Drosophila melanogaster: one gene and its partner. The protein of the gene in region 2 interacts with the protein of the main gene of each other region in a pairwise test. Each region holds a gene or a part of one and is shown on either strand. Other genes may lie near its edges. The genes, in order: eIF4E3 and eIF4G2.

Region 1 (4,100 bases), on a different chromosome or scaffold from region 2:
ATTCACATTACGGTCCGAATAACTGCATGCATTCATCTGCGCCAAGGAATCCCGTTCATATCAAGCAGGATTCGTCCGGCGGCGGGTAGGGAGAAGAAAGAGGGTGACATCGCCGGGAGGTTGGACAGGATGTCGGAGATACGCTGCCATTGGCACTGACATAACCCCATGTGCAGTGTATCACGTTCCAGTCATTTGGTGGCTGCCACTTCATAATTCAATAAAACAATAAAAGCAAAATCCTTACAAATTACAGCAATCAAATCATACGACTTACATGGGCATCAGTGATGACAATTCAGGGTCTGAATATTTTGCACTTTCAAATATCATTTAGTATGTGAGCAGAAATATTATACATATCATAGGTGCTGAGATTTCCAGGAATACCGGCAATACTATCTGAAATATTAGTTTTTGGAATATGGAATATATATATATTTGGAATATAGAATGAAAAACCTGCTAGGAGCACTAGCAGCACTTCCCTGGAAATGGAGGATATTGCGCTTCCCGAGCATATTTCCATAAATTGGTCACAATTTGCTATGCGCAGCAGCACGGAAGACAAAAGCCCTGAAAGGACGACGCACACACATAGGAAGGAATAAGCACTTGGCGCGCGATGGCAGCCGTTAAAGGATGGGCAGAGTCACCCAAAATTATGACGCCAAGGATAATCGTAGTGAAGCGAGTATGTGTTTCCCACTCCGCCGGGGAATACGTGAGGCGACTATAGTAGCCTCGGGATACCGGCACACGAATCGTGGCCAGAAAGTAGTTACTGTTTCTACTGCTCTACGCAATACTTTATTCATGGTACAACCGATATCTATCTCGAAAAGCATTGGTGCGCGTGGGATAAAATGTGAGTTTGACAAATGTATAAGGCTTATGTACTATCGTTGGAAATGTACTATGGCGCCCTTGGAAATTGGCCTACAATGTGTAGATGGCATTGACATTGGGTCCATGGTTCACCATGGCATCCTTGTGCACCTGGTACTGGATTTCCATAATGCCCAGATGCAGCAGCTCCTTTATCTGCCTGCCAATGGACAGGATAGCCTCTACATTGCGAGAGTCCTTCGTCCAAAGGGCTGTAAAGAAAGTTGACCTTAGAGATACCCCAATGTGAAATGCTGTCTTATACCCACATAGCTTATTAGCCTTGTTGCGCACATTGATGACCACTCCACATATCTCGTCCGAGTGCTGGAAGCACTCGCCAATCATGCACAAAAGCTAAAGGAGATAATGCTTTATAATGCATTGAGCTTATAATTATGGTGCAATCATGTGGCTTACCAAATCGTGCCACATCTTATCTATATAGGTCCTGGAGGCCTTGTCCAGGAGCAGTATCCAACGACCACCGTTCTTATTGGTGTCATCCTCCCACATGGGACTAAATATTTATATACATAAGACGAGGTTCAAAGAGCAGACTTTCAGAACTCACCGAATATTTTTCTTGAAGACCATGTAGTCATTGAATATCTTCAGATCCGATGGCGGCTTCACAAAGTAGTACACACTGTCGAAATAGAATAGGATATATATATATAGGATATATATATATATATATGAATCTGTGTCTGACCTGAAGAAGTCCTCAACGGTGTTGAAGCTGGTCACATCGACGAGCATTTCGGCCCAGCGCTTGGTACGATCGTTCTCCAAGTGCCACAAAGTCCAGGTATGCTCCAATGGATGCTTCATGGCCAGGTCGTAGTCGATGTTTTTCATCACCCGGTTCAATGAGGGCTGCAACTCCTCCTCATTGCCGCTCATCAGTTCCAAACCATCATAAACTGCCAGACCATGTGACCAGTCATTGGGATCTCCATACGGCACCCATGCTAAATATATTCGATTCGCATATCGAATGATGAATCGTAAAAAAAAAGATCTGCTGTCAGCTTACCAGTTTCCTCAGCATTCTGCAATCCGTTGCTTACGTAACCGGTGTACACCATTGTTTTTTATTGATTCAATGCGATAAACGAACCTTTTTTTGTTAGTTTTCTCGTTTTATTTTACTAAAAAAAACTCCTTGAAATGGTATATGTCTCGTGCAAAGTATAAGCGTTAATGAAAATGGCTTAACATGAGTGCACACTTTGACAAATCAAGATATGACAGCTAAAGCGTTGCCACCTTGGTTATGAAAAAGTATTGGAAAAGTCATGTGACCATCTCGTTGCGTAATATGCTTATTTTCAAAAGACTCTATCCCTTTATCGCCTTTATTATTTAAAATATTTTATGGTACATCCTGCCATTATTTCATCAATAAATCTTGTATCCAAGTCTTAAGCACCCCATTCAAACACTCCGATATTGCAGCTCCCATTCGCACATTTTGGTTGCAAAATCAAATTGAGTCGGTTAAGTACGAGCCCGAGGGTCTATCAATTGAAATGTCACGCTAATAAAATAAAATGCCACCGAGCATACGATAAATGCACGAAAATAATAAAATGTGACTCAAATGAGCGACGACGACAGCAACCACAGACACAGACACGGCCACACAAAGTTGGCAGCCGGAAAGACGGATACGATTGGGAATGGAACTGGAGCGAGTAGAGGAATCCCCCTTTCTTGTCTGCTCTGGCTGCTCCTTGTGCAACAGTTTGGCCTGCAGTCAATAATCGAAATCGACTTGGGCTTGTGGCAATAAAAATTTGTCTTCGCCGCTTAAGTTGTGCGCCTTGTTGCACACACAAGGTCCTGGGTCCCTCCGTGCCGGAGTCCTTTGGCAAAGCCCCACACCTCACCCCTGCCCGAACCCATCACCACGCCCCTGGCGGCGGTGCAGATAATAAAATATGTGAGTCGCTACGTGGCAGCTCCTTTGGCGTTGGCAAAGTAGCTTTGGGCCCTTGTAATGTGCACCATTTGTTGCGCGGCTGGTGGTGCGGTGGCACCAACTTGCACTCCAACCAAGATGCTCCGCACCAGCTCCATCTCCGTTTCCATCTCCATCTGCTGGATGCACGGGTGAGTTATGCCGGCCAAGTTTGGAACAAAAGTGTTGGCACTGCTCCTTGTTCTTGGTTCTCGCAGCCAAATAAGTTGCCAGCCCCAATTTACTTAAAAATTCTATTTATTTTTGCTTTTAAGCAGCTTTGGCGGCTGCTCCAGCTCGTATTTCTGGGATTTTTTGAGGAAAAAACTGCTCCAAATTTGTTTCGTTAATTGGGAGAATAAGTTAAAACAAGGAATTGTAAAATTTTAGAAAGTGTTTTAATATCTAGACTATCTTAACTTAAAGTACATTTTATAAGCTCGTATCGCACGTTATTCCCTTCCTCTCTTCACTTAAACAATAGATAAAACTTTTTCAGCTACTGCTGGTTTTTAATATTTATATTTTTTGACATGCCTGTTTATTCCTTGAATCCCATAACTAAAAATTACCTGCTCCAAATGGAGTTGGTAGCCCATAAATTCCCGAGAGGGAAAACTTTAGTTCCAACTCTTTTTTTGGGGCTTCTCCCCCATTCGAGTTAAGTTGCCGGCAAACGCTTAGCTATGCTTTGTTAGATTTGACTTTGTGCTCCGCTCTTCTCAGGTGGCACTTTGGCGTATACGCAATATTTTACAGCTTTTTGCACTTTGCTGGCTGAGCTGAAAATACATGGTCAGTAAATCTTTTAAAATATTGTAATGTTGAGGGAGTCTATGGGGGGATGGCTCCCGCACCAGCTTAAGCGATTTGAGTGCCGAAGCAGTAAAAACGCCCACAAACTGCCGGGGAAAACGAAGGGGAAAAGCGCGTAAATGGGGCAAACTACAAGAAGAAGCCAAGGATCCAAGGACTCAAGTATCCAAGAGCTAGGACCTCATCTTGAGGCAGTTCTGTGCAGACAAGCGCATGCAAGAAATGAAAATGATTTGAGGCATTATGTTCGCTCCGGTTTTACCCCGCCATTTCTCGTTTCGCTTCCGTTCGGCTGTCTTTTCTTCTTTTTTTTTATTTGTTTTTTTTTTTTGGCTACAAAATTGCTTTGCTGCTGCTTCATGTTGATTGTAAAAGATTTCAGTGCTGAAAGCACAAAGCATGCGATGATGTACGGAACGACGCACGTCGT
Region 2 (5,060 bases):
TTGTATGTTTTAACTTGTAACTTATAGTTGCATAACATTTGCTTTTTGCATTTGCAAACAATGCAATTTACGAATACCGCACTTATGAATTTCTTTTAGAAATTTCTCTAATTATTGCACAATTTTCACATTAACATTTATGGTAGTCGAGCTTATACGCGATTTACTTTGAGTAAATCTTGTGTTTGGTTTTATTTTAATTGATTGTGTTAAATAAACGGTAAAAAAGAAACGAAAAAGTTTTATTTTGGGCTATGCCCATTCTCGTTTTAACGGGTTTTCAGTTCGCGCACTATTTTTATTCGTTTCTACATGGATGCCAAAATTATATGAGTAATATAAGAGTTGATTTCGTAACCGGCTCAGGTGCAGTAGTCGCAGTCGGTTGCAATTTCAGTTTGGTGCATTCTCTTCTTGTTGTGCAGAATTTTTCAGCGCCAAAGTGGAGGAAAGTGATGCGGGAAAAAAGCGTTACGCGCGTCAGGGCGAATCAAGCTTCGGACTTAGTGTGACCGCAGCGGGAGTAAAGGAATTCGCTTTTGGTGTGGCTGCACTCGCGTCCCCGAAAGATACCATGCGGTGCTGAAAGAAATACCAAATTAAATCATTATGGGTTCAAAATATACCAAAAAGCAGAGGCTTTTTTTTTAAGGGGGATTCAATTAATAAGTATACTTTTAAATAAATTAATAAGATGTAAGACGATATTATCTTTGAAAAATGTATAAAATTTAAATAAAACTTTAAAAATCGTATCTTTTTGATCCAAATTTCGGAAAGTGTTGCAATTTCATTTTCGAATTGTATTGTCAAAACCTGCCGCTCAGGTAGCGCACTCAGCGACCGTTATATTCAAAATGTTTGTGCTGAGAGCAAAATTATTGAAAAAAAGTAAGAGCCTCGTCCATTTACTCATCTGTTGTCCTCACACTATCTTTAGTGCAACCGCAAAGGCCACAAAAACATGACAGTACGCACAGGAAAACAAGCATTGCAAATGACTTCACAACTGAAATGGAAAAAAAAAAATGCAAAATACGGACAGTCCGTATGCGGTTTCGTTGTGCCAAGTTAAAATATTTGCATTTGCGGTCTAGTCTTTTTGCATTTTCAACCACCAAATAATCCCTTCAGACTCTGTTTGTGGGCTCTATGTGTATATAATTTTTTTAGGCTGCAATAAGGCTCCGAGTTCATTCTTGCACTCGTTTTACTTTAAAGTTTTGGCCATAGTGTATACTGAGATAAGGAGTAATAAGTAGAGAAGGGTATAGCATTGGAAAAACGGATACTAGAGGGAGGTGAGGGCGCAGAGTAAAGGATTATGTGGGAAGTGGAGGGCGTTGCGCATCCGGCAAAACAGAAAGAGCAAAACTTTTACTACAAGCGCGTAAACACTGCAATTTCTGCACGAGGGGTAGTCTAAGAGCATTAAGGGGAGGCAATCCGGAAGTTGCGAATGGAATGGAAACAGGATTCTGCGCATATGCTGTCCTACGAATGCGTAAATTATGAATATATCATTCAAATTAAAATGTAAAGTTAGAATAAACAATAATAACAGCGAAATATGTGTGGAATTTATATGATATTCTGCGTCATGCACCACAATGCGCATTATATAATAATTGTTATTATAACACCTGCATAAGGCCTATTTTTCTATTTCGAAAGAATGATTATTCTTATGATGAAGAACGTTCAAAATATTACGCGCCAAGCTTGAATCCAAGTTCTCCACCCCGGTTTGAGGACGCACTAAAATGTATAATATTCCTGCGGGATATTTCTGGAACTTTCACAATCGATATTCGCTGCGTAGACATCGATGCTGCCGCCATCGAGTTATGTTCCATCCCTACGTGCAACGGTCACTCTTATTTCATCAAACGAAACGGACGTGTTTCTGCAGACTATTTACATTACAAAATTGTTTGTAACAGATAGTGAGCCGTGTATACATAACGAGGTGAAGCAGACGATGCACTAATGTAAAGGCGCAGTGCCAGAGCAACTTTTTGGCGTGTTCCCCGCGTGGAACTGCATTTTTTTTTGTTTCCTTCCTCAGTTTTGTGTGTGGAGTGCGAGCGAGAGAGCGTGCTAGCGAGCAGGAGCAGAACGGTAAGTACTGGCGGCCAGACAGAGACAGAGAGAGCGCAAAAAAAGAGCGAACGGCAAAAAGTCAAAACGGTAAAAAAACATAAACCAACGCCTCGCCTTTTCGGGGAAAAGTATTACCTGAAAATCTGAAAAAGGTTAAAAACCTACAAAAAGTCCCCTTGCCATTAGTGTCAAATTACGAATTGGCACTTGGCTGCCCATTTCTCATTCTCAATCCGGGGCTGAGGCTGCTCAGCTGGACAAGGAGAGGGAATAAATTCGTAGCAGGCGCTGCTTTGGTGTTCATATTCATCATATTGTAATTTTGATTCCTCGCAATTGCAAAATTTAAGCATACGTTTTAACTTCCTCTAACGCCTTTAATTACAGAACAAATTACCGTGAAATTTTAGCACTAGCCGTACGTTATTTTGTATATTTGTACGCATGTACGTGTACGTGCCCCTCGTCCGTCTGCACAAATGCAGATGTGCATGTGCATCACAGTGAATTGGAGTATTTTTATACATGGAATATCTGAGCTATTGTAGTATTCCGGATAGAGCCAACAACCACAAAGACGAGGAGTTTCCACGAGAAATAGGAAAAAGGAACGGAGGAGCAAATAAGCAGCAGCAGGAGGAGGCGTAGAGCTTGACCAGGTGTCAAGGGAAGCCGGATAGGCTTAAAGGCAGGTCTACCTTAGGAACTAAGAAATAGGATAAATCGAATACCCTTATAATCATCACATCTACCAATCGAAGCACAGGAAGCGGTAAGTTTCGAAATCTGACTTACAACTTACTCCCATTCTAGTATTTGCTTGCTTTTTCACGCAATTTACATTAATTGTTTGTTTATTAGTTTAATAACACACTACTACTACTATAACACACTGCCTCCAGTACGAATGCACTCCCAATAAGCGATCGCGATCCCATTTAGAGCAGCACCCACACACTCCAACTGGTTTTGTTTACAAACAAACATGAAACAAGTGAGCCTATCTGCCAGCCAGGTTTTCGTTTTCCTCGCCATGGAGTGAAAAGAGCCATGCACGTACTTCGTCTGCTGGAAAACTGGTTTTCTTCTGGCTTGAAGGTGCTTGGCCGCAAACTGCAGCGGAGTTGGTTTTTCTAGGCCAGCAGAGAGCTCCAAAGAGAACACCACAGTGAATATTGGCCAATGTTTGTCTTCATATTCTTATCAATCAGCATTGAACGCTTGCTTAGCAAAACAACAATGAAATTCCGTTTGGTAGTATTATAACTAAAAGAAATCATATCGTAAACAGTTTTAAGTGATCTAGTTCTTGCGGTCTCCACTGTGCCGATGGAAGTGCTGACGGAATGCCAAACTGGTTGTAGCCATAAAGACGACAGCAGCCCATAGCTCACCTCCTACGCTCGCTGGCAGCTGCTTCTTTGTGGCTGCCTTTGTTTTGTTCCGCTTTAAGGCCAGTACTGACTAATAGCGCCACTTGTTACCGTGTGTCACCTATGTACAAGTATTTAGGCTGCGCAAGTGACTAGTCCATTGATAAAACCGGCGCGATAAGGTGTCGAGCCATCTTCGAAAGCATTTTGGATGTATACACGCCCCGCGAGTGACATCATACACCACATTCCAATTAAAGAGCTCAATTGATTGAAATATTAAAGAATAAAGAAAAGGGTAAAAGAGGGAGTGCATTTGTAAAATAGCCCTTAGTCATAAGATGTAAACACATAATTTGCATGATCATTTTTGGTTGCTTTTGCACACGTTTGATTTAACTCTCATTCGCATGTACTCACGGCTTTGACTGAAAACCTAATACGCCAAGCATTTTCCACATCGCCAACTCCATTTTCACTTTCATTTCCATCTTACTAACATTACGATTTGTACATCTGTTTTGCTCTGGCCGCGGTTTTCCTAACTCTCCGTGTGTGCCTGTGCGTGTGACGGTGCGATTGTATGCGTGTGCAGATCCTTCGAAGGTCCTCCTATGTTCCCTCAACAGGGAGGGGGTGGGAAGGGAACCAGGCCACAGTCGACACATCAGCAGAACCACAACCATCAAGCCCAGCATCACCAGGCGACGCACTCGCACCACCATCACCTCCAGCAACAGCAGGAGCAGCAGCAGTCCCACGCAGTGTTCGTCCCGAACCACAGCGGCCTGCACCACCACCAGCAGCAGCACTTACTGCAACAGCAGCAGCAGCAACACCAACAACAAGCAGCCGTCGCCGCCGCTCATCTTCAGCAACACATCCAACAGCAACAACAGCAGCAGGTGCAAGCCCAGGCCCAGGCGCACCACCAGCCGGTCATCTTCTACAATACCCAGCCGTCCTACGCCGCGCATTCCGCGGCGGTTAACAACAGTGCCAACGGCGGCGGCGCTACCCTCCAACTGAGCGCCGCCGCCAGTTCCAACACGTTGGGACATCCTCTTACTGGTGGTCACCATGGTGGAGCAAATGGCGTGGCGCCGGGGTCAAACATGCCTCGTGCCCTGAGCAACCCAACTCTACCACCCCACTTTCAACAATCAGCTGGCCTGATCGCACCTGCCGGCGGAAATGCGGGTGGACCCTACATTTCCGCCACCTATATACCAATTAATCAGACCGGACCTCTGATGGGCATGCAGCCAGCTGTGACCTTTCCCACTAACGGAGCGGCTGGAGCTTCATTCTATGCGGCTGCGCCACCTCCTCCACAACAGAAACAGCTTCCTCCCACTGCTCAACAACAAGGTCCAGGCGGGGCACCGGGAGCTGCTCAAACGCCGACACTAGCTTACTACCAACTTGGGCCGAACGCTCAAAACTCTGCTGGAAACAACGTGGTTAGTGGTGCCAATACACATCGCGGCAATATGCGCGGAGGGCAAAGATCTACTCCCACCGCCCAACATACCAACTACTTTACCGCATATACCATGGCCCCAGGAAATGCCCAACGTCCCG

Evidence for each region.
Region 1: the proteins of eIF4G2 (region 2) and eIF4E3 interact in a two-hybrid assay, tested with the Drosophila melanogaster proteins (one study listed by BioGRID).

Annotation. Positions count from the first base shown.
Region 1 is NT_037436.4:8,227,261-8,231,360, reverse strand, and holds eIF4E3 (eukaryotic translation initiation factor 4E3), read right to left. Parts: upstream 2,138-4,100; 5' UTR 1,980-2,137; coding exon 1,928-1,979; intron 1,863-1,927; coding exon 1,604-1,862; intron 1,538-1,603; coding exon 1,463-1,537; intron 1,409-1,462; coding exon 1,309-1,408; intron 1,246-1,308; coding exon 1,158-1,245; intron 1,101-1,157; coding exon 940-1,100; 3' UTR 793-939; downstream 1-792.
Region 2 is NT_033777.3:23,816,042-23,821,101, reverse strand, and holds the start of eIF4G2 (eukaryotic translation initiation factor 4G2), read left to right. Parts: upstream 1-1,864; 5' UTR 1,865-2,121; intron 2,122-2,282; exon of another isoform or gene 2,283-2,490; 5' UTR 2,491-2,875; intron 2,876-4,071; 5' UTR 4,072-4,090; coding exon 4,091-5,060.